Rattus norvegicus: one gene and its partners. The protein of the gene in region 2 interacts with the protein of the main gene of each other region in a pairwise test. Links are inferred from orthologs where the notes say so. Each region holds a gene or a part of one and is shown on either strand. Other genes may lie near its edges. The genes, in order: Gnmt, Arr3, Zfp496 and Dvl2.

Evidence for each region.
Region 1: the proteins of Arr3 (region 2) and Gnmt interact in a two-hybrid assay, tested with the Homo sapiens proteins (2 studies listed by BioGRID and IntAct). The two-hybrid records come from large-scale screens. The link is inferred for Rattus norvegicus from reciprocal best matches to the Homo sapiens genes ARR3 and GNMT.
Region 3: the proteins of Arr3 (region 2) and Zfp496 interact in binary tests that used the Homo sapiens proteins (3 or more experiments, as listed by UniProt). The two-hybrid records come from large-scale screens. The link is inferred for Rattus norvegicus from reciprocal best matches to the Homo sapiens genes ARR3 and ZNF496.
Region 4: the proteins of Arr3 (region 2) and Dvl2 interact in a two-hybrid assay, tested with the Homo sapiens proteins (2 studies listed by BioGRID and IntAct). The two-hybrid records come from large-scale screens. The link is inferred for Rattus norvegicus from reciprocal best matches to the Homo sapiens genes ARR3 and DVL2.

Annotation. Positions count from the first base shown.
Region 1 is NC_086027.1:21,749,805-21,755,883, forward strand, and holds Gnmt (glycine N-methyltransferase), read left to right. Parts: upstream 1-2,477; 5' UTR 2,478-2,481; coding exon 2,482-2,687; intron 2,688-4,130; coding exon 4,131-4,258; intron 4,259-4,814; coding exon 4,815-4,925; intron 4,926-5,118; coding exon 5,119-5,261; intron 5,262-5,348; coding exon 5,349-5,470; coding exon of another isoform or gene 5,471-5,556; coding exon 5,557-5,728; downstream 5,729-6,079. UniProt on the Homo sapiens protein: Catalyzes the methylation of glycine by using S-adenosylmethionine (AdoMet) to form N-methylglycine (sarcosine) with the concomitant production of S-adenosylhomocysteine (AdoHcy), a reaction regulated by the binding of 5-methyltetrahydrofolate.
Region 2 is NC_086039.1:69,748,662-69,753,551, reverse strand, and holds the end of Arr3 (arrestin-C), read right to left. Parts: intron 3,003-4,890; coding exon 2,919-3,002; intron 2,673-2,918; coding exon 2,649-2,672; intron 2,492-2,648; coding exon 2,427-2,491; intron 2,008-2,426; coding exon 1,998-2,007; intron 1,488-1,997; exon of another isoform or gene 1,410-1,487; coding exon 1,352-1,409; 3' UTR 1,252-1,351; downstream 1-1,251. UniProt on the Homo sapiens protein: May play a role in an as yet undefined retina-specific signal transduction. Could bind to photoactivated-phosphorylated red/green opsins.
Region 3 is NC_086028.1:44,783,158-44,789,391, reverse strand, and holds the start of Zfp496 (zinc finger protein 496), read left to right. Parts: upstream 1-2,203; 5' UTR 2,204-2,255; intron 2,256-2,457; 5' UTR 2,458-2,654; intron 2,655-4,236; 5' UTR 4,237-4,342; intron 4,343-4,640; 5' UTR 4,641-4,678; coding exon 4,679-5,068; intron 5,069-5,341; coding exon 5,342-5,519; intron 5,520-6,234. UniProt on the Homo sapiens protein: DNA-binding transcription factor that can both act as an activator and a repressor.
Region 4 is NC_086028.1:55,219,454-55,225,749, forward strand, and holds the start of Dvl2 (segment polarity protein dishevelled homolog DVL-2), read left to right. Parts: upstream 1-2,832; 5' UTR 2,833-2,866; coding exon 2,867-3,060; intron 3,061-6,296. Other genes in the region: Phf23 (PHD finger protein 23), read left to right, coding at 329-1,160, 1,269-1,483.

The DNA of each region.
Region 1 (6,079 bases), on a different chromosome or scaffold from region 2:
GAGCTTGCTGCCAAGCCTGATGACCTGAGTGTGAATTCTGGAACCAACATGATAGGAGAGAACTGAGTTTCACCTGCTTTCTTCTGAACACAGACACATTTTGTTGTTGTTGTTGTTGTTGTTGTTGTTGATGCTTTTTGAGACAAGGTTTCTACGTAGCCCAGGCTGTCCAGTAACTCACAGGGATCCAACTGCCTCTGCCTCCTGAGTGCTGGGATTAAAGATGTACATTTAGCTGGGTCGTGGATTCACCTTTAAACCCAGCACTCGGGAGGCAGAAGCAAGCTGATCTCTGGCAGTTCAAGGCCAGCCAGGACTACACAGAGAAACCCTGTCTCAAAAGCAAAAAAGTACCTATCACTTGCTATACCTGGTTCCCCAATTTTTAAAACCTAAATAAATAAATGAAAATATACCACTTAAGATGTTCAGATGAGGGCTGGATAAATGGCTCAGTGGTTAGAGCACTGACTGCTCTTCCAGAGGTCATGAGTTCAATTCCCAGCAACCACATGGTGGCTCACAACCATCTGTAATGAGATCTGGTGCCCTCTTCTGGCCTGCAGTCACATATGCAGGCAGAATGCTATGCATAAAAATAAATAAATCTTAAAAAAAAAAAAATGTTCAGATGAGATTTGAAAGTCTAGGGTTGATAGGTTTATCCCCCAAATGTTTTAATGCATGGCATCGGATTTACTTGAAATTCCTAAATCCAGTCTCTCTGCTCTTTGGACTGATGTAGCAGATTTGCCTTGAACTTTATGTAGCCTAGAACAACCTTGAACTCCAGCTTTTCTGTCCCCAGCTCCCAAGTACTGGACTTAAAGCATGCACCATCACACTCAGCCTTGAGACTCTTTCTGAGCCTAGTGTCAGAGACCTGTGTATTGGGACATTGAGTCCCCGAGCCTGAGCCTGGAAAGAACCATTTGCAATTGCTCTGTGCTAACAAAATTAAAAAAATGTGGGCTGGAGAGATAGGTCAGCCATTAAGAGCCCTATCTGCAGCTAGGGTGATGCATGCCTTCATTCCTAGCACTTGGGAGGCAGAGTCAGGCAGATCTCTGAGTTCCATGACAGCCTGGTCTACAGAGTGAGTTCTAGGACAGCCAAGGCTGCACAGAGAAACCCTGTCTCACAAACAAAATACAAACACAATAAACCCACTTGCTCCTCTGGAGGTTCAGTGGCTTACAACTGCTGGTAACTCCAGTTTCAGAGTATCTGATGCTCTGTTCTGGTCTCCATGGGTACCAGACATCTACAGGCATATATGAAGTCAAAACAACTATACACATTATAAAAAAAGTTAGATCATCGGGCTGGAGAGATGCTCAGTGGTTAAGAGCAATGATCGCTCTTGCCTAGATCCTGAGTTCAATTCCCAGCAACCACATGGTGGCTCACAACCATCTGTAATGGGATCTGATGCCCTCTTCCGGTGTGTCTGAAGACAGTGACAGTGGACTCACATACATACAATAAATAAAATAAATAAAAATAAAAGGTCACACAGTTGTAGTTGTTCTTCCATCTCTGGGGTTCTCCCTACATCAGAAAGGCTAGGGGAGGGAGGCATCTCTGGGCTTCTCTTGCTGTAACTAATCTTTGTGGAGTTGGAAGTGAGGGGGCGAGGCTGGAAGGCTCCCCCCTCCCCCTGCCGCATCTGAGTCTTTGGTCACACACATCTTCCAGAACCTGCTTTATCCCTGCTGGGATCTTGTCCTTGGTGGGGAAAAAAGAGTGAGCGGATGAGCCAAATTGACCCCAGAGTTATGAAGTGATGCCAGGCAGAGCTGGGACACTAGGTGACCTTCACTCCTGACCCTGAACTTCTCCCCCTGCCGGCGCCCCCATGGAAAGCAGGCTTACAAGGTTTCCCAGAGGGTTCTCCAATTCTTGAGCACAAATAATCCTCCTGTCTCAACCTTACTACACCAGGCTTTCGGAGAGTGCAGAGTGTATAACAGCCTGTGGGTTGGAAGGCCCAGGCTACCTTAGGAGGCGCAAGCGGTGAGGTAGAGACCGATGCTATCACCTAGAGAGATACACGCCTATCTCCAGGTGTACTCCTGTACTTGGATGTTCGGCCACCTTTCTCAAAGCCTGATTAGTGGAGTGTTCCCTCCACTAAATGTTATGTGTGATATGTAGACAGCTTACTGTGCTGGGCCTGGTCTAATTCTGCTTTGGGCGGATTTCAAAGTCGTCTTCCCTTTCTTACTTAGGTAGGGGTGCTTTACTTTATTGGTTCCTCCTGGCCACCCTGGTGCGTCCTATCTGACCTATCTGACTATGGGAAAACCAGATCCAGGATTGCCAGGCTGAGCTATCCTCACCGCGGGGGCAGCCTGCCTGGCCCAGGGCCCAGCAGGGGCGTGTCCCTGCGCTCACCTGCCATTGGCCAGGTGGGGCCGCCCTGCCAGAGGACTATAAGTGCGTGCGGAGCTAGTGGCCTGAGAGCCAAGCGCCGTCAGGATGGTGGACAGCGTGTACCGTACCCGCTCCCTGGGGGTGGCGGCCGAAGGGATCCCCGACCAGTATGCGGATGGGGAGGCCGCACGTGTGTGGCAGCTGTACATCGGGGACACCCGCAGCCGTACTGCAGAGTACAAGGCGTGGTTGCTTGGGCTGCTGCGCCAGCACGGGTGCCACCGGGTGCTGGACGTGGCCTGTGGCACAGGGTGAGTCCAAACGAGCTGGCTTGACTAGGACTACTGCACCACAGGAAGGCCATTCGGGGCAGCCTTTGTGGGCTGGAGCCTGGCAGGCAGTACTAGGGGGTCAAGAGTCCTTGCTCATCGGGGTAGAATGGACATGGTGAGAGCATCTGCCGAACCAGTGTGGGAAGGGGGCCAGGGAGACTCAGGACCCGGGTGTGAACAGAGAAGGGCTCATGGGACAGCAAAAGCCGAGCATTGGGTCAAGCTTGATCCTTGGCTCCAGCGTTGTTCCTCCTGCGATGGCCTCTGGCAGTGTGAACAGAACATTTGTGGCACGTTTGCACAGCCAAGAGCTGTGCCAGGAGTTTGGGTACATGTGTTGCAAACTGTAACAAAACCCCATGAGGTAAGTAGTGGTTTTCTCCAACCAGTATTAAAGGAACTCATTTCCAAGAGGTAAAAGGCCTCCATTTGGTGGAGAGGATATAGACCAGGATAGGGTCTGACCCACGCTCCAAAGTCAACACAGGACACACAGAGACACCTCTGACTGAGAGAACTTCCAGGAGCACCAGCACGCCAGGTTCTCAACTGCACGTTCATCATCGCCTGGAACTCCATCCCAGGGGGAAGTCAGCGCCCCCTCCTGGCCATGCGGGCCACTGCACTCACATGTACACATAGAGACATCATTGAAAACTTAAAAAAAAATGTTGCTGGCAGGAGTGGTGGCACATATCTTTAATCTCAGCACTTGGGAGAGCCTAAATAGGTGGGTCTCTGTGAGTTCCAGGCCATCCAGGGCTACATAATGAGATACTATCTCTAACAAGAGGGGGCTGGGGGGGTTGGGGATTTAGCTCAGTGGTAGAGCGCTTGCCTAGGAAGCGCAAGGCCCTGGGTTCGGTCCCCAGCTCCGAAAAAAAGAACCAAAAAAAAAAAAAAAAGGGGGGGGGCTGGGGAGATGGCTTATGTTCTTATAGATGACCCAAGTTCGGTGTCAACACGCTCCCCTGGCTTCTGCAGACGCGAGGCACACACATGATGGACTTTTTAGGCAAGACACATAAAATTAAAGTTTGATTTTTTGTTTTTGAAACATTGTCTCTCTTTGTAGCCCCAGCTGTCCCAGAACTCATGATTTAAATCAGGCTAAAAACCCTTTCAAAAACTTGCTACCTGAAAAGGAATATTCTTTTTTTTTTTTTTTTTCTTTTTTTTGGAGCCGGGGACCGAACCCAGGGCCTTGCGCTTGCTAGGCAAGTGCTCTACCACTGAGCCAAATCCCCAACCCCTTGAAAAGGAATATTCTTAAGGGGTCGTCTGAGGTCAGTATAGATGGCCTGGGACAGGAAGCAGAGGAAAGGACTCTGGAATGTTATGTTTGGGGAAACGTCATGCACATTTGGGTCCCCAGACCCCTCTGACTGGGCCTCTCAGTCCCTGGTCTCTGACCTCATCCAGAGTGGACTCGATTATGCTGGTGGAAGAGGGCTTTAGCGTCACGAGTGTGGATGCCAGCGACAAGATGCTGAAATACGCACTGAAGGAGCGCTGGAACCGGAGGAAGGAGCCAGCCTTTGACAAGTGGGGTATGTCTGTCCAGCCATGCCCCTGGGGCATGCATCTCCAGGGCCACTCTTCTGTCTGCCCTAGCTCTTTCATGCAGGGTGGGCTGGCTGGTTTTCCTCAGGGCAAGGTGCAGTTCCTCTGACCTTCCTAAAAAGGGAGGCTTTGACATCAAAGTGGGATTCCAGGTGCTAAGAGCAGGTTTGTGCCATTTTTGGTGCTAGGGTTTGAACTTGGGCATGCTAAGTGGACAGGTGACCACTGAGCTACACGGCTAGCATTCTTTATATTTTTCCCGTGCTGCCTGGTCTGGCTGGGCTGGGTTCAGGTGATGGATGCTTCTGTCTCGGTTTCCCATCCAGCAGGGTCCAGAGGTGTACACATAATACACTGGACCTGCACTGTTTACGGCATCCTCTCTCTCCTCCGTACAAAAGCCCGAGTGGAGAGCTGGCTTTTCCAACAATGGCTCTCTCCCATGTCACCCTCCTTGTCCCTAATGAATCCCCGCGTGTCTCTGGGTGGAGGTGGTTGCTTCTGTGCTGTGCTATAACTTCGAACTCCTCCCCCGGCCTCTAGTCATTGAAGAAGCCAACTGGTTGACTCTGGACAAAGATGTGCCAGCAGGAGATGGCTTTGACGCTGTCATCTGCCTTGGGAACAGTTTTGCTCACTTGCCGGACAGCAAAGGTAAGCTGGTGGCCTTGGCTGTGGCTCTTGCCTTGAGCTCCACCACTTCCGCCGACGGCTGGCCAGCTGCTGTGATAAGGGCTGACCTGCGTTTTGCCTGTCCTCTTTAGTGCTGGCACTTGGGAGGGAGGTGGGAGGAATAGAGGTGCGGGTGCCCAAGCAGATGGTGTCTGTGGCCCTGCCTGGCACCCAGGTGACCAGAGTGAGCACCGGCTGGCGCTAAAGAACATCGCAAGCATGGTGCGGCCCGGGGGCCTGCTGGTCATCGACCACCGCAACTACGACTACATCCTCAGCACGGGCTGTGCACCCCCAGGGAAGAACATCTACTATAAGGTTGGGCTGGTCCCCAGTGGGACGGGAGCTGGAGAAGTCCCATGGTGGACTAATGGAAGCTAATGCAGCTGATGCCACTGCCCTCAGAGTGACCTGACCAAGGACATTACGACATCAGTGCTGACAGTAAACAACAAAGCCCACATGGTAACCCTGGACTACACAGTGCAGGTGCCAGGTGCTGGCAGAGATGGCGCTCCTGGCTTCAGGTATGGCATGATTTGGCAGGAGAGGTGGTGGTGGGGGAGACTTGAGGCCAGCAGCCCTCATTATTTGGCTGGGGGCCCTGTTGCAGTAAGTTTCGGCTCTCTTACTACCCACACTGTTTGGCGTCTTTCACGGAGTTGGTCCAAGAAGCCTTTGGGGGCAGGTGCCAGCACAGCGTCCTGGGTGACTTCAAGCCTTACAGGCCCGGCCAGGCCTACGTTCCCTGCTACTTCATCCACGTGCTCAAGAAGACAGGCTGAGCCTGGCTCCGGCTCCCACCCTAAGACCATCGCCTACCACAGATATTGCAGAGATGTGGGGGGCAGGCAAACAGGGAGTCGACAATACAGCCTTCCCTTGCCAATCCTGTGCCCTGTGTTTCTTTCAGAAGTAATGTGGTGTTCATCCCACCTTCCCTAGACCTTACTCTTCCCATAACCTTGGCATTTGCACCGCAACCTCTCACAAGACCAGCAGGGGGCAGTATAGACTTTATTTTCTGTCTGAGAACTGGGGCCTCAATGCCCATTCCAGGCTGCCACGCCCCCAAGCTGCCAGCCCTGCCTCTTCTCCTGGGCACAAGGGCCTCCCACTAGGGATCTCAGGGTATC
Region 2 (4,890 bases):
ATTTTAAAGGTTCAGAGGCTCAGATGATTTTGTGCTTTCAGGCTGCATGATAGGGGGTGGTGGACGAACTTTGCCACCTCGCCATCATAGGGTGAACTACGGTTATCTAAAGGTAAGTAGTAGTGGGAAACTAGAGACCTTGCAAAGGCTATGTCATAAAGAGGAATGGGTGTTCTGTTTCTCACACTGCAACTGGTTTGGGCACTCGTCCCAACAACCATCACATTGAGGTCTCCAGATTATTCTTCATCCTTTTCTGCAGAGACTTGCCTAGGCAAAGGAAAAGGAAAAGAACCGGATAGTGAAAACCTGTAGTTAGTGGATGAGGTTAAATCCTTACATATAATCATGCTGGCCTAGGGCCTGGAACACTGGAAGCCTTGAACCCATGACGTTTCCAACACTGGGTTCTGATGCCTCGAGTAGACAGCACAGTAGCACCTTCATGTGAGGATTAAACTTTAAGTGTGTAGACCAACAAACCTTACCATGTGTTGGTCATGGTACACACCACATTGATGACATCACCTCTGTCTCCTCATACATCTAGTATGTACTTGTCTCTTTGAAAGGCCAGAGGCTCTCAGAATCCTGTCCCCTGCCAGCACACACCCTAGCTGGTCAACAAAAGACTCAGTCTAGAGGTAGCCTCCTCCTCTCATTCCGTGCTATTCATAGCTCCTTATCTTAAAGCCCATCTTAGACCAGGAATAGGAACCTGACTTTGCACAGAGGTCGGTATTTGTGTTTCTTATTAGTCTCTAGGACATGGCCTCTGGCCTCATTCCAGGGCTCCTGGCCTCACCTTAAAAGGACCAGAAACATTCCTTGAACCGAGCAGGCAGAAATACTGTAACAATGATTTTCTGTACTTGAACCTGTACCACCTGACATCACCATGTTCTCCTCCAGTAGCAACCGTTGACAGTTGTCATCATAGCCAAGTCTAGGAGTGGCCACACCCTTTTGGCTTCCTCTGTGGGGTTCTTTACAGTGTAAGAACCAGGTACTGCTAGACCAAAAGTAATTACAAGAGTAAGTCGTCAGGCAGGGACTAGGGTAGCTGAGGCCAGAGAGAAAAGGCAAGTGACTCAGAGGGACCACATAGGGGCAAATTACCTAACACAAGATACCTAATCAAGCTTGTAGGTAAGGGTGGGAGAGGTACAGGCGCCTGCAGCAGAGATCATTATCTGGAGTTCCGTGTTCTCCCAGAGGAAAACAAAAGGCACAGAGATCACACCAGCCATGTCCAGACAAAACCTTTTATTAGAGTGTTACAACAGGGGCTTCCACACAGAATTATCAGAGATGACTATCGGCTCTTAACTGTGTCTGCTGTTGGAGCTTTCTAGCTTTGTGTCTGGCTGTTCTGCTGCATAAACTCTTCGACAACTATGTCCTCCGAGCTTGCAGGAGCAGCAAAGGGGAAAGGAGAGTTATCAAACCCCTCTCTGGGCTTCCTCCACATTCTTGATTCTAGAGAGGTAATCACTTCCCTGCTTCTCAGCCTTCCCCTCCTTGCCCCATGGGGAGGGCTTGTTTCCCTTCTGAATCTGTCTAGACAATGGTGTCAAGGTGCATTAGAAGGGAAACAGTGGAGCATGGGGTACAGGGAAAGGATTAAAAAAAGATGAGGATGATGTGGAAAAGGAGGACCCCAAGTCACAGAGAAAGCACAACCAACCTAGTTTTCCAGGGAGTGAGGGATCACAAGAACAACTTAACAACAGAATGGGATTTCGGAGGGAAGAAAAGAGAGAAAGAAAAATGGAAAGGATGGGGCGGAATAAAATTTCCCAGAAGAGCAGCAAGTGAAGGGCAGGGAGGCTGACAGGACGGAGGGCTGTGGAAAGCACCAAACTGACATGAAGCTAAACCATGGTTCTGGTGCACAGTCATGAAAGCAACACTTTGAGGAAGCTTTAAAAATTCCATTCTAAAACAGCAATAGGCAAGGGGGAGGGGTGGCATTTCCAAGCCTCATGCTGACCTACCTGGTAGCCACTGTGGCAAGCATGGAGGGGATGGGAAATGGAACTGAAGCTCAGAAGCGTCTGTGCAGATCCATGATATTTTCCTTCTTCCCCCTCCCCCCAGTCCTTCCCCTCCCCCAAATGTTCCTTGAAAAGCTAGACATCCAACCTGCCTATTGTCAGTCTATCTGAAGCCACTCTTTTTTTTTTTAAAGATTTGTTTATTCTATAGAAGTACACTGTAGCTGTCTTCAGAAACCAGAAGAGGGCATCAGATCGCATTACAGATGGCTGTGAGCCACCATGTGGTTGCTGGGATTTGAACTCAGGATCTCTGGAAGAGCAGTCAGTGCTCTTAACCTCTGAGCCATCTCTCCAGCCCTGAAGCCACTCTTTTTTGAGAACTGCTTAGCCCCAAACCCACAGGATAATAGTTCCTGGGAGCCTCACCTGCTCTCTCACCGTGAGGTGGCTTTGGATGGATCAAGATCAGGGGGAGCTCCACACCAACATCACTGCAAGCATCCCAAGGTGGAGTTGCTGATGTTCTTAAAGGACCCAATCAGCAACCTTCCTTCAGTTTTCCCAATCCTCTCAGGCCCTCAGATTCTTCTGAGGGCACCTTTGGTCTCCTCCCTGTCCTGCCTCGGACCTCTCACCCTAGCTTCTCACCTGGCTGGCAGACCTCCTAGAATGCTGTGAATAAAATGACACCCCAAATTAGTAGCTAAAATGGGGAGGAGTCAACCCAGTTTTGCTAGGCATAAGGTATCAGAAGGCCAACTTAGTAACAGAATGGGACTTTAGCAGAGAAAGTGACTTGGGAACTTAGTCTGGAAAAAGAGGAATACCTTTGAATGGGTCAATCCAACAGGGAGAAAAACAAGTAAGAAACTCTTGGCTCCCAGCCCCTGCCCAGACCAAATGGAAATCCTCACTTACCCCCCATAGGACACCATCAAGTTGACTTTAACTTTGTAGGACACCAGGATCCCCAGTAGCTCCTTGTTCATTCCAGGTCGAAGACTTGACATTGTAGTATTAATTTGCGGTGTTAGGAGTATAATTGAATTTACCTCCCCCCAAATCCTTCCCATGCTTTCCTAGTAGCATGTTCCATTGCCTTTGTCGTTGCCCAAAAGATATCCCAGGCTATAACTGTTTCTACCCAATTGAGATGACAGTTTTCTTCCTAAAATTCCATTTGATCATGTTACTGTCTGTTTGAGGGCCTAATTTGTTATTCTGCTTAATTTTCAGGAGCCAAAGAATCTAACCTTATCTACTTCTCTCTTTTCTGCCTGACTGCCAAACACCTAGAGAACAGCCTATGCCGACTTGTCTTCCCATCATACTCCTCAGAGTGCCTTCTAGCATCTTCCCGTGCCATGTTCCCTGTCTGAAATTGTCCTTCTACTATTGGCATTTAGATTTTAAACACTTTTCAAGATCTAGATCATTCTATCTCCTCTAAGAATCCCTCGCCAGCTCTTTTGGCTTTTAGCTTCTATTGGACTCATAATATAAACCACATGCACCAACACTTAACTGTTGGATTACATTTACATTCCTCTTTGTTCCTCATCCAGGTCATATATTTACTAAAGGAAAATATTGTCTTAAATTTCTTTGTATAGCCACATTATATTGCATAGGAATGAGCATTTAATAGGTGCTCAATAGAAACCTGCTGATGGAAAGATGAGATGCCGAAAGTGGAAGGATCTTAGGGTAGTCTTTTGGTTGATTTGGGGGTGCTGAACCCTTTCTACAAAATAATGCTATTTGGATAATTTCCAAGGCTATTGCTATGAATAACAACCTGTAGATACTGGATTGATCAGGCATGGGGAGAATTGGTCATTTATGATTGTAGATGGTAGACAAATTGCTTTGGTGAGAAACACACTTAATGCTAATCTGAAGGCATAGAGACAAATGAATGCCATTGAAGAATTTTATCAATTCCTGCCATATAATTGTCATTACATATTCTCCTTTTCCACCATCTTTCCTTGCCCAACCTTCTACTCTAGTCTACCTTCTCTAGATAGTAACTGTTGTAGAGATCACAGTGTTTAGAGCCAGTTGGCATAAAATAGAATCCTCTTTGCTGCGTACTTATACAATCTTGAACAAATTCCTTGCCTTTGAGCCTTGGAGTCCTTATGTGTAAAATTGAATAACATATCTGGCCGTGATTCGGGATGCAAGGCCCTGAGTTCATTCTCTGCACCTTAGAAACAACAATAAACCCAACCACCTGGCCAGTGTACTTTAATGGTATTCTTTCTTTTTTTCTTTTTCTTTCTTTTTTTCTTCAAGACAGGGTTTCCCTGTATAGTCCTGGATGTAGTGAAACTGTATCTGTAGACCAGGCTGGCCTCAAACTCACAGAGATCCACATGCCTTTGCCTCTCAAGTGCTGGGATTAAAGGCACATGCCACCACTGCCCAGTGATACTCTTAGGAATATAATGATAGATGTAACTAAGGCCTTTGTGAATTGTGTCTTGTTTTTAATTCTTTTATTATCATTGCAGTTTTGTTTATCCATTTTGGACCCTTGTACATTTGTGGGGATGGGGATGCCATGGTGAGCATGTGGAGGGCAGAGAACAAGAATTGGTTCTTTTCTTCCCCATATGGGTTCTGAGGAATCTAACTCAAGCAGTCAGCTTAACAGCAGGAGCCTTTACTGATTGAGACATCACAGCAGCCCTGTTTGTATCATTTTTTGACAAGGTCTTCCTGCATAGTCCAGGCAGGCCTCAAACTTGTGATTCTCCTGCCTCAGTGCTGACCACTAAGTGCTAGGATTACAAGCACACACCCCCATCCCTAGTTTGAACTGGGAAATTTTATATAACAGAGGCTTTCTGCTCTCTGAATTTTCCTTTCTCATTACCTAAGA
Region 3 (6,234 bases), on a different chromosome or scaffold from region 2:
TCACTTTATGGCCGCCATTCTGTCTGATCAATGAGGGTGGGGCGGGGAATCATTGTGACAACAGGGTTTACAAGTGTCATCGGTACTTCACCCACAACTTCCGACAGAACCCTGGCTGTTACAGAATGTGGTGCCTTTCTGTGGCTTCTAGTGCTGCCTCAGGGCCGGATCACCTAAACTCCTTCATTTCAAAGACCACTTTTGCTAGCATGTCTGACCCACCTGACTTCAGTACAGCTTAGAAGCGATGCTGGGCCCCGCCCAGCCCTGCTGCCTTGAAGCTGCTGCTCTGATTTGGATTCCCGTGGCTCCAAAGACCACAGGTCTGTTCACTATTTGCCCTTCCAACGGCCAGCAGAGTGCACAGATGTGCCCCGGGATCTGAATGGGAGCTTCAAACTGCAGGTGTCTTGTAGACTCTCGGTACACATTTCCTGAATAGCCACAGAATGAAGCAGACAGCATCAGTCTTCTGCACGAGGCACCTGAACACAGAAAGGCCATGCAGGCCTTAGATCACCTGACTGGGCCTCGATGGGCATGATTTAACCCAGGTGCTCTGATCCCAAACCCAACCTACTAGTCCCTAAGCCAGGTCCTGTGCTGAAGAAGCACAAAACGAAGGCACATTGGAGCCATTGGCAGCTACCAAACCTAGAGAGGGGACTGGAATCCTGAGAGCTTCGAGCTCAGGGGGATGAACTAAAGGGAAGGTGTGTATGTGAAGAAAAAAAGAATCCCATGAAGTGTACCAGCCACCTCTTGGCCCTGCAATTTTACCTGCGTGAGGGCTCCAATAAGCAAGACTCTTAGAAGGAATTCAAATATTCAGCGGCCACCAGGCGGAGCTTCAACAGCAGCCCTTCAGGATGCACAGCTGGGCTAATCACTAGGCTTGACTCCCCCAGTGGGGAGGGGGCGGTCCTTTGGTCACGCTAGGCTGTGCTTCCTGGCTGGTGTTCTTGCTAAGGGACTGGCATGAATTTGTAAGTCTAGGTGGCTCCTGTTGCTTTATGCCTTGGTGACCCTTGGGTGACCTTTGGGTGACCCTTGCTTGCTCAGTTCGGCTGCACTTAGAGAACATATCCACTTGGTTCACCTCCTAACGGCACAAAATCTGGACATCTGACTCAATACCTACTAGTCGGAAGTAATCATCCGAGTCATTAGAAGGAAATGGACGCACGAAGGCCCACAAGACAAAAGCAGTCGGCTGGTCGTGGGGTATCTCTATCAAGTCATCTTCTTTAAGGGAACTGACTTCCTACCATGATGTACCCTTGCAAGAGAATGCGGGGGAGGGGGGAATCAGCACAGTAGCTTGCTTCTAGGCACTTTCCTTTGACAGTGCGGTTCCATTGTCCAGCCCTGGAGAATAAGGGAGGATTTGGACTCTACTTAACACAGGGTAGATGCAACAGAAATCGATTCCAATGCTAGAGCTTCTCACTCTCCGTGACTGAAGTCACTCTGTCCATGCACTAAGCCAGCGTCAAGCTCCCTGATTCACACTCTCAGGATTGGCAGCCTTCTCTCTCCGTACTCACCAGGACTGTCCTAGTGCTCAGAGGGACCCAGAGTGCTACAGAGAAACTGTAGATCATCTCCTCGCCACGAAGGCGCGGGCCGATGCTTCGGCAAGCACAGTGGATCGCCGGGTCTGCATTTCTCTAGTCGTACTGATTTGGGTGACTCTGGCAGCGTTGGCTTTGAGATGGAATTTTGGCTGGAAGGGGTTGGGGCGCAACAGCACACACGGGATGCGGGTGGTCACAGGGAGATCCCCTTACACCTCCTCCCTCCTCCTCCTCCCAATTCTGGCATTTCGCCAGCGCCGCCAGACCAGCCCTTCCCTGCACCCACACGAGAGGAGCAGGGAAGAGCGAAGCCCCAGGCCGGCCTCCTTGGCTGGTGGCCGCGCGAACTGGCCCCCAGCGCCCCGGTCCCGCCGGGGCGCGCGCGCATCCCGAGCGGACTACGAAGACCCACAAAGCTAAAGCCCGGGCCCCGCGCCCAGGCCGGCGAACACGGAGCAGGGCGGGGCGGGGCGGGCCAGGCGGGCCGGGGGTGTCGGATGTCACCCCCCGCGTACACCTCGGCCCGGAGGCGGGGAAGCGAACCATTGAGATGAGGAGACCTCCTCGGTCCTAGAGCGGTGCAGGAAGTGTCCCAGGGGAGGGAGCCGGAGGGCTCCGGCCTTTCCTTTCCGCGGCGGCCCGGCCTGCGCGGCCCGCCAACCGGGACGCTGCGCAGCGGTGAGTATACCGCGGCCGGGTTTCCCATGCCCCGCTGCCTGAACCCGGATCTTGCTCCCCACTTCCCGCGCTCTGAAACCCAGCCCCGCGCCTGGGTCCTGCTCCCTGTTCTCCTCTTCCCGCGTCCGGGCCCGGATCCCTGCTCCCAGAGCCGCGTCCTCATAGGTGCCCTCGGGGATGAAGCCATACGATTATCTTTCAGGCGTCTCCCTTCGCTCCCAAGCCCAGCTGATGCATTCTAGAGGATCACGAGACAGGGTTGGCCTGGCCAGGGACCGAGTCTGGCCCATGCATTGGAGCCGCCTTGGCCAAGACACCAGAGAGACCGAGCTGGAAGGTGAGGATCTGCTCCCCTGCTGTCCCCAGGCTTCGAGGTGAAGAGCCAGCGAATCTGAAAGAGTAAGCGACAGAAACCCCCATAGTTCTCCTGGCCTAAAACACCCTCCTCCTCCTCCTCATTCCTTCCCTGGGATCCTGCTCCTTCAATAACTGCTTTGGGCAAGCCCCGCCCCTGCGGGAGCCCTCCCCTCACTAACGGTAGTTCATTCATAAAGCTTCCGCTCCCGAGGCTCCTGCGCGCCAGGTGCCAGAGTGACAAAGAGGCACACGCTTGTCTGGCCTAGGACTCTCTGAGAGCAGTTTCACATCAGAATTGAATGCTGAGGGTGGGACCCTGGGTACCCTATCCTACGTGCAAACCTGAGCCATTCAGGGCCCAGCAGGTGGGAGATAGTGGGCGGAGGAAGCTGAAGATAGCGGGCGGGGCCCAGACTGGGTTCTTAATACCGGAGTAAGACGAGAGTATTCGCGGTTCACAGCCTGTTGCTTTCTGAGACTCTCTTCGGTTGTCTGTCTTTACTTCGGAAATCGAAGGAATACAGCAAAGTTAGGGGTTCCAAGTTGTTCGGTCGCTTGGCGGCTTTCTGTTATCGCTTGTCTTCCTGCAAAGTGGTGCTGCCCCGTTGGGAATCTCTTCCAGGTGAGGGTGTAAAGGGCCAGTCAGTGACCTTGCCTGGGGTTTCCAGAATCCTGAGAGCGGTTAGGTTAGAACCCTGTGTCTCCGATTGCCTTTTCTCAGAGTGTTCGAAAGTGTGGGTCAAGTGGAAGAGACCATGCTGTGGCTGGTGCCCCTGGTGTGTTTGCTGAATTTGTGTGTGTGTGTGTGTCTGTGTGTGTCTGTGTGTGAATCTGTGGCACTCGGAGTTCCCAGAGAACTGAAAGTCTGGCCATGACTGCCTCCCTCAGGATCAGGAGTTAGGTACATTTTTTAGATACTAAAACATAATTACATAATTTCCCTTTCCCTCAGGATCAGGAATTAGGTACATTTTTAGATACTAAAATATAATTACATAATTTCTCCCTTACCTTCCCACCAACCCCTTTACTCACACACACACTTATGAACTCACTTGCACGCTTAACTACATAACAAGAACTTCTAAAAAATTTTAAGATTTTTTAAAATAATGTGTATGCCTCTGTGGACATCTTTGTGTGGGTCTGTGCGCTTGGGTGTGGTGCCGATGGAGGCCAGAAGAGGGTGTGGGAGACCCTGGAGTTGAACGTACAGGATGACTTGAGGGGTGGGTAGTGGGAAAAATAGCGTGTCCTCTTAACCACTCTGCTGCCTCTCCGACCCCAAGAGATTATAGTTCCCGTGTTGGACCCAGGTGGGTAGAAGGCTTGTCATAAAGCACTATTTGGGGAAGAGACACAGTTTTGGTGCACTAGCTGCCATTCTGTCCGTGAGCTGCACCCCCCAGGCCTAGCACAAGTGTTTTTAAATACAGTGTTATTTTTCTCAGGTAAACCTCTGTGGCTAGCTCTGTGTTCCTTCTGTGCCTGGGGGTTTTTGTCCTTGCCAATGCCCAGTGAAAGCTCTCTTGGGCTTTTGTCCATGCATCCTGTCCTTGGCAGAGTGACATTGTTCCACAGTGGTCTTCCATGACTCTTCCCTTACATATTTTTTTTTCTTCAGTTCAATTTGTGAAGACCTCAAGAACAGAGACAGTGACTTTGTCTCCAAAGCGTCCAGATTATCGCCGCCTGGGGCTATATCCTCCGGGAGGACCTGCCCATCAAAGGTATCACAAACCTTGGTTACACATAGCTGTCTGTGATTCTCCTGGGGCCCTGGAATCCTGTTGGAATGACACCACTTTTCTCTCAAATTTACTGCCTTTTTTACTGCCACGTGTTAGGGGACTGCACATGGAGTGATGGCTTGTGGGAAGGGTCATCTTTCTTTGTCACACCAACACTTCTTACATTTCCCAGGGATTCCTCCAAGGGCTGGTCTCCCATGGGCTCTGTCTAGCACCCCCTCAGAAATAACCACAGGAGACCAGAGCATTGAAGCCAGCGATTTCTGTTTGGAAATAGGGTCGTCTTCTGCCGCTGACCCTCCATCAAATCCCATCATGCCCACAGCCCTGTGCCCACGAGTCTTGGCTCCAAAGGAAAGCGAGGAGCCCAGGAAAATGCGGAGTCCTCCTGGAGAGAACCCCAGCCCTCAGGGTGAGCCTCCCAGCCCAGAGTCCTCTCGACGCCTCTTCCGCCGGTTCCGCTACCAGGAGGCCGCAGGCCCTCGGGAGGCCCTGCAGCGCCTCTGGGAGCTGTGCCGGGGCTGGCTGAGGCTCGAAAGGCACACGAAGGAGCAGATCCTGGAACTACTGGTGCTGGAGCAGTTCTTGGCTATCCTGCCGTGGGAGATCCAGAGCTGGGTGCGTGCCCAGGAGCCTGAGAGCGGAGAGCAGGCTGTGGCTGCAGTAGAGGCTCTGGAACGGGAGCCAGGGAGACCCTGGCAGTGGGTGAGCACGGGGCATCTGGGAGAGGGGAGCCCTTGCTGACCCTGTGAGACTTCTGACCCCAGATGAGAAATTCTGTCCAGACCCAGTGTTTGGTTTCCTAAGAAAGCAAACATTACTCTCTATTAAGTCTAAGTTGAGAGAATTGTTACCTAGCAAGTCGGTGCCGGCAAGATCAGAAAGGGAGAAGGCCTACCCAGCCCTGTGCAGAGCCTAAGGGCCGGCTTTATCATCCTCCTCTACTTGGGCCCTGATCTGCTTTCTCTGGGATTGCAGCTCAAGCACTGTGAAGACCCCGTGGTAATTGATGACGGTGATGGGCCTGCGCCTCAGGATCTAGAACAAGAACGAATGTCTGCAGAGTCCCAGAGCAACCCTGATGCCCTGCCGGGGGCTCTAGCACAGGACCCTGGGCTCCTAAGCAGATCGCCAGGCCAGCCTAGTGAAGACCCAGGTATGCGGCTTGTAGTGTGCTTGGGTGTTGACTAAAGTGATGGCCTTTTACACTCTCTGACCCACGACCTATTACTGTATTCTGGGTCTTTCCGTAGAGCAACCAACCCAGAGTCTCTTCTTAGTATGGAGTCCTCTCAGAGGGAAGGCCTGGGTGAACAGATGCTGTGAGATTATATGGTCTTCTTTCTTTGAGTGTGTTCTCAGTGGAGACAGAGGTAGTCACTGTGGGACCAGGACCTGATCTAAGCATGGCTCTGTCTTCTGTCCTCTCAGAAACCACATTTTCTTGGCTAGGTTACCCTGCAGCTGTAAGAAATCTAAAATCCCCTGGGAGAGCACAGTGACCTCTCCTGCAGATGGCTGCAGTGCCCTGCGGCAGGGTTTGAGTATCTGTTTAAACCTCCAACAGCTGCAAAGAGGGGGGATGTGTTACACTCAAAACCTGAGCCACCAGTCCTTTGAGTTGTAATAGGTCACTTCTTGGTTCCTTAGAGTTTGGTTCCCCAAAGCCCCTCCAGGCCCAGGGACCCCGTATTCCTCTTATAAACCTTACTTACCATTACAACAGTACTTTTAATTATAAAAGGAAAAGTGCATTCTTGAGATTGTTTTTAGTTATTTCTGGTCTTGAATCTGTTCGGTGAGTTGGAGGCACAGCTTTGTGCTAGAGCACTGCTTAGCATGTGTAAGTCTCTGGCACCTTATCCAAACTA
Region 4 (6,296 bases), on a different chromosome or scaffold from region 2:
GCTGGTTTGGAGGGATGGAATAACCGCAGTAGTGCTTTGAACTGCAGTAACAAAGATTCGGAGTGTTGGTTAAGATTTTTTAATGGTTTTGAGTGGCTGTTAACTAAGTGTTTCCAGGTAAGTTGGAGGGAGATGAGTGTCCTAGCAAATGAGATACCGAAACACAGTTATCCTGTACAGCTGTGGCCTCGGGGGAAGATACGGTTAGAGCAGCACATGTCAGGTTTGGGGTCGGGAAACTTCTAGTTCCTGGTTTTTGTGCTGGATATGTGGCAGGGCTGAGCTGTCACTAGACTCCGGCTGACCCTAGTCTCTTCCTCCTTTTAAGGAAAGCGATTGGCCAGCTTCTGGCTCTAGCTCTCCATTACGAGGTGAGAGTGCAGCAGACAGTGATGGCTGGGACTCAGCCCCGTCGGACCTTCGAACTATCCAGACTTTTGTTAAGAAAGCAAAATCATCAAAGAGAAGGGCAGCTCAAGCAGGTCCTACCCAGCCAGGACCCCCAAGGTCCACTTTTTCTCGTCTGCAGGCCCCTGATAGTGCTACTCTGCTTGAGAAGATGAAGCTCAAGGACTCTCTGTTTGATCTGGATGGGCCCAAAGTGGCATCTCCACTGTCTCCCACATCGTTGACCTCCCGGCCTCCTGCTGCTCTCACCCCAGTGCCACTGTCCCAGGGGGACCTCTCCCAGCCTCGAAAGAAGGACCGAAAGAATAGAAAGTTGGGACCAGGAGGTGGGGCTGGCTTTGGGGTGCTTCGGAGACCTCGGCCAGCTCCTGGGGATGGGGAAAAACGGTCTCGAATCAAGAAGAGCAAGAAGCGGAAGTTGAAAAAGGCCGACCGGGGGGATAGACTCCCACCTCCTGGCCCTCCTAGGGCTCCTCCCAGTGATACAGACTCTGAAGAGGAGGAGGAAGAGGAAGAAGAGGAAGACGATGAGGAAGAGACGACAGTGGTGGGTGGTGGTGGAGTTCCAGCCCCTGTGCTCCCAACACCCCCTGAAGCCCCCAGGCCCCCTGTTACAGTGCACCCTGAAGGGGCTCCCCCTACTGACAGTGAAGGCAAAGATGCGGGCAGCACAGAAACAAGCCAAGATGGAGATGGCAGCTCCAGTGAAGGAGAGATGCGGGTCATGGATGAGGACATCATGGTAGAATCAGGTGAGAAGGGTAGGGCTGCCCCGGCATGGGAAGCTGGGGTGATGGGCTTGGGGGCTGTTATGAGTTAAGCCTTGAAGCAGAACACTAAACAGACTTTTTTCCCCCCAGGTGATGACTCATGGGATCTGATCACATGTTACTGCAGAAAGCCCTTTGCTGGGCGGCCCATGATCGAGTGCAGCCTCTGTGGGACATGGATCCACCTCTCCTGTGCTAAGATTAAGAAGACCAATGTTCCTGACTTCTTTTATTGCCAGAAATGCAAGGAACTTCGGCCAGAGGCCCGGCGGTTAGGGGGTCTTCCCAAATCTGGAGAACCCTGACGTCACTGTTTAAGGCTGGAACTTCTGACATGGGAACTGAGCCTCAGTCTCCAGCCTTCCCTTGGATTGAGGAAGGTGTCCCCACTTGAGGGCCAGAATTCCCAAGGGAGAGGTGTCCTACCTGCTCCGTGGACTTGAAATTGACCCATTACAATTGGGTTAGGGGAGGCTGGATCTGTAGACAAAAATCTCTGTCCAGTGAACCCTCCACCCTTTTCACTTTCAGGGCCAGGGCTCAAACTGGGCTGTAATGGGATAGTTGTCTATGAAACTGTAGTGTAAATACAGCACTCCCTTCCTCACATTTCTTCTTTCTTCCATTTACTTTCTTCTACACCGGATGTATTTTTAATTTTGGGCTCCCCCATTTGAGCGAGGTTGCTCAAAGGTGGAGAACCAAAGCCTGGTGGAGTGAGGAAGGAAAGCAAAAAAGGTGTCAATTATCACTCGCCTTGTTTTTAATAATATCGGCTGGCTGCTTGTACAGACGGCCTACGTGTTGTAAATAAAGCAGAGTGGGCTCTTGTGTTTTACAGCCCTTGTTGTCCTGTTTGGGGAGGGGATCTTTGGGAAACCTGGTGGAACTTTGGGTAGAGTTGGGGCTGAAGCCCACTCTTAAGTCCAGGGCTGTAATTTCACAGTTGTAGAGGTGGAAAATTTAGGGGCTATGTCTGGCTTGGACTCTAGGAGACCCTGTCTAAAGCCCCTCATCACCACCTTCCACGATAAATCAAATCTCTAAAGGAGAAGCTTTCAGCTCTCTCATCCCAAGTACAGTCTAGGAGCTACCTACACTAAGGGCTTAAGTTGAGATTCTCACTTAACAGCCCATAACTCACGCCCCTCTAATAGTTGCTAACTGAGGTCCCTTGAGCCTCAGATGAGTAAAGCAAAGTGGGGGCCAGTTGCCAGCATTCCAGAGAGTAGAAGCTTGCTAAGGTGCTTGGCGGGGGAGGGGGTGTTACACGTTTTGGGGGCGGAGTCGTCTAGGGCTGAAGACCGTTGCTCAAGGCAGTGGTCACGTGAGTGTCTAGGTGGAGCTTGTAGTAACGTGACATAAGGAAGTCACGTGAAGGACAGTCCGCTGCGCAAAGTGGGCGGGCTTGGGTCACGTGGCATGGGGAGAGGTGGGCGGGGACCTCGGTGCTGCTCGCGACGTCCGTGGTGGTAGTGGCCCTCGTCTGTGGGGTCTAGGTTTTGAGTCTCGCCACACGGCTCTTCTCGATCAGACCGCTGTTCCACGCCATCCTCCTTGGACACGTCTTCCGCACTGGCCCTGCACTGCCGGCGCTAGCGCGTCAGTTTGCGGGTGTGCGCAGGCGCGGCGGGGGCGCCTAGTCCTGTTGGGTGGGCGGCTGAGCCCGGGAGCGCGTGAGCGAGACCATGGCGGGCAGCAGCGCGGGGGGCGGTGGTGTAGGCGAGACGAAGGTGATTTACCATCTGGATGAAGAAGAGACTCCTTACCTGGTGAAGATCCCTGTCCCGGCGGAGCGCATCACGCTCGGCGATTTCAAGAGCGTTTTGCAGCGGCCCGCGGGCGCTAAGTACTTTTTCAAGTCTATGGATCAGGATTTTGGGTAAGCGCGAGGCCTAGACTGAGAAGGACGGTGGGTGTGCTGGTGTGGATTGGGAGATGTTGAGGCCTGTAGTGGAGCATAGCATATTGTACTGTGCTAAGGTAGAAAGCCCATCCCAAGACAAACACGGTTATATTTGGACACATAGAAGAACGGGCTGAATTTTAGCAAACCAGAGGCGAGAAATTTAGGTTGGAAAAATGGGGAACATTGGTTTGTTTGGCCATTCTCTCCCCGTGATTTTAGCCAAAAGGCAAATTAGTGATGCTTGAGTTTATTCTAAGCTGCTGAGGCTAGAATCATCTATCGTTTGGTAAGTTGGTACGCTCTCAGACGTCTGCACATGAGTGTATAGAGATGCTTGTAATTTCTTTTTCTGTTTGCTTGTTTTGATTTGTTCTTTTGTCTTGAGGCAGGGCTTTATTCTTTGTATCCTAGGCTGGTTTCGAACTCACGGAGTTCCTGCCTCAGCCTCCAGAGCTGGAATTAACAGGTGTGAGCCAATATGCTTGGCATGCAGTGTCTTTATGTAGACTGGGCTATAGTGAGACAATTTAGGCTATTAGTTAGGCTTATTAATTAGGTTCCATAGTATTTCGGGACGGTGTAATCCGTAATAATGCGGAGAGAGCTCTACTGGGATATATTAGGCTGTCTTGAAGTAGATTTTTCTAGCAAAGCATGTACTAATCTGGACTCTTCTGGGTTCTTATTTTCTGTTAGGGCCAGAACCTTTTTTTTTCCGGGACCGAGGAGAGTTGGAGGATTTTTTTGTTTGTTTGTTTGTTTGTTTATTTTTTAAAAGATACTTTATATGAAAGTTAGTAGTAGTGTGTACATCTTTAATCCAAGAACTTGGGAAACAGAGGCAGACAGATCTTTGAATTAGAGGACAGCCTGTTCTGCAGAGCTAGCGCCAGGACAGCCAGGACTGCACAAAAAAACCTTGTCTGAAAGCAAAACAAACCAAAGATACTTTATGTTTTTGGGTGTTCTGTATGCATAGTTGTGTACCACACGGCATGCAGTGCTCACCGAATCCAGTAGATGGCATGACATCTCTTAGAACAGGAGTTCGCATATGCTAGCCACTTTGTGTGTGCTGGGAATTGAACTCCAGTCTTCTGCTGAGCCTGTCAGTCTACTGCTAAGCCAGAACTTCCTTCTGTTACTGAAGCTAACTAGAACATACCGCCTTGTCTTGAACTTGTAGCAGTCCTGCCACTACATCTGCATCCAGAATGCTAGAACTAGGTATGTGTGGCAATATGCCTGGTCCAGACCTAGGTTTATTATGTTATAAGACAGGACAAATGGGGACAGATAGGCTGGTGGTACCACTACATCACAGCAGAACGGGGTATTGTAATCAATATTGGTGTAGAGGACTGCTAGTATGGAGACACTGGGGGCTATGCCAGAAAAGATTGGGTTTTGGGGTGATTTGTGATGTTCTGGGTGATCCTGGGCTGGACTGGGACTGTAATTATGGTAGAGTACGGCAGCCTTCTGTTGTTGTAGCTGTTGGGACAGCCTTCTGTGTCTCCTGGCTCAGACTGCATTAGGCTGGGATGTCCTGAGTTTATAAGCAGGGATAGTAGGGTCCTGGGGAGAGAAAGGTGACCTACCACCTGGGTAGGGAAGGGACTTCTTACCTGTGAAAGTCCCTGGGTTGGAGCACATCCCCCTCTGCTACTTGAATAGACTGGACCCTCATTAAAGACTGTTCGACTTTGAGAAAGTGATGCGATCTAGGGAGTTGTCTTGGATTTCCATCAAAGTTCTTCTTTTTACATTATAATTTTGGGCAATTTATTTAGCTTTTGTGCTTTGATTTCTTCATCTGTGGCACGGTGATAATCATAGTGCAGAATGCTTAATTTAGGTGCACAGCACATGGTACATTCTGGGTGACTGGTAATTTTCATTTAGTATTGAGGCTAACTAGTTCATAGACTAGATTATAGTGATAGGAAATTGCTTGCTTTAGAGGAGACAGGGCCATGCCAGGTTGGTTTATGTTAGGAAGAGTTATGCTGAGTAGATCAGTGCTGATAGGGCTGTGTTGTCTTGACAGCAGATGTATTCATGAGGCCTATACTCAAGCCCCCAGAGTATATTAGGTTGGAGTTAATCGGACAGATGTATTTATGTGCCATGCATGCCCAGTACCTCTGAAGTTAGAAGAAAGAAGTCAGATCCCTTGGAACTGGAATTATGGATAGTTGTGAGCCACTAGGTAGGTGCTGGGAACCAAACCTGGGCCTTTTGCTAGAACTGTAAGTGCTTTTTTTTTTTTTTTTTTTTTTTTTTTTTGGTTCTTTTTTTTGGTTCTTTTTTTCGGAGCTGGGGACCGAACCCAGGGCCTTGCGCTTCCTAGGCAAGTGCTCTACCACTGAGCCAATCCTCTAGCCCCCATCCCACCCCCAAGAACTTCTACTTTGAGGGTGAGGTTGTTATTGTGTATATGAAAGAATGGTTTGTGGCTCACATTTCGTCTGTGTTTGCTAATGCTTACAAAGGTGAGGGCTTGTGCGCACACCCAGGACACCTGTGGAATAGAATAGGTATTGACACTTTCTCATGGGTATGAGAAGGAACAAGCCTAGTCCACTGCAGGAACCTGTGGGAGGCTGGGCTTTGGGATTTTTCAGGCTGAGCAGATTGCTTAGTGAGGTGAGGCAGCCGGAAATGGGAAGCCCAGCTTCCTCTATTCGTGGGAGCTTTCCACACATGGGGTATTATTGTTGCATTTAGTGTGTTTGTACCCAGCAAAAGCCACACATTTGGGCAGGTTCTGGATGTGAATTAGAGAGAACTAAAATGCAGAGGAACAGCAGCAGATTACATGAGGACCAGAGGCTTTTATGGGACAGATGTGTAGGACAGAGACGGTTAGGCTGCCTGCCAGCCAGACTCCTAAGTTAGGTATCTGGAGCAGTTGTTGGGAACTGTCCCAGAGGGAATTTGGAGTGGTACTATGAGGTTTGGATCAAATGGGAAGAAGTCTTTTTAGCGGCACTGTGCCTCTACAGATGAGTGGGGGAGGAGGGGGTCTTGGGATAAAATAAGGAGAGTCTGGGATTACTTCACTGTAAAAGCAGAGGAGCCAGGCATGGTGAGGCATGCTAGCCATGCGGCATAGCTAGTTTTGGTGACATATGCCTTTAATACCAGGATGGAGAGGCAGAGGCAGGCAGATCTCTATGAGTTTGAGGCCAACCAGGGATACAGCT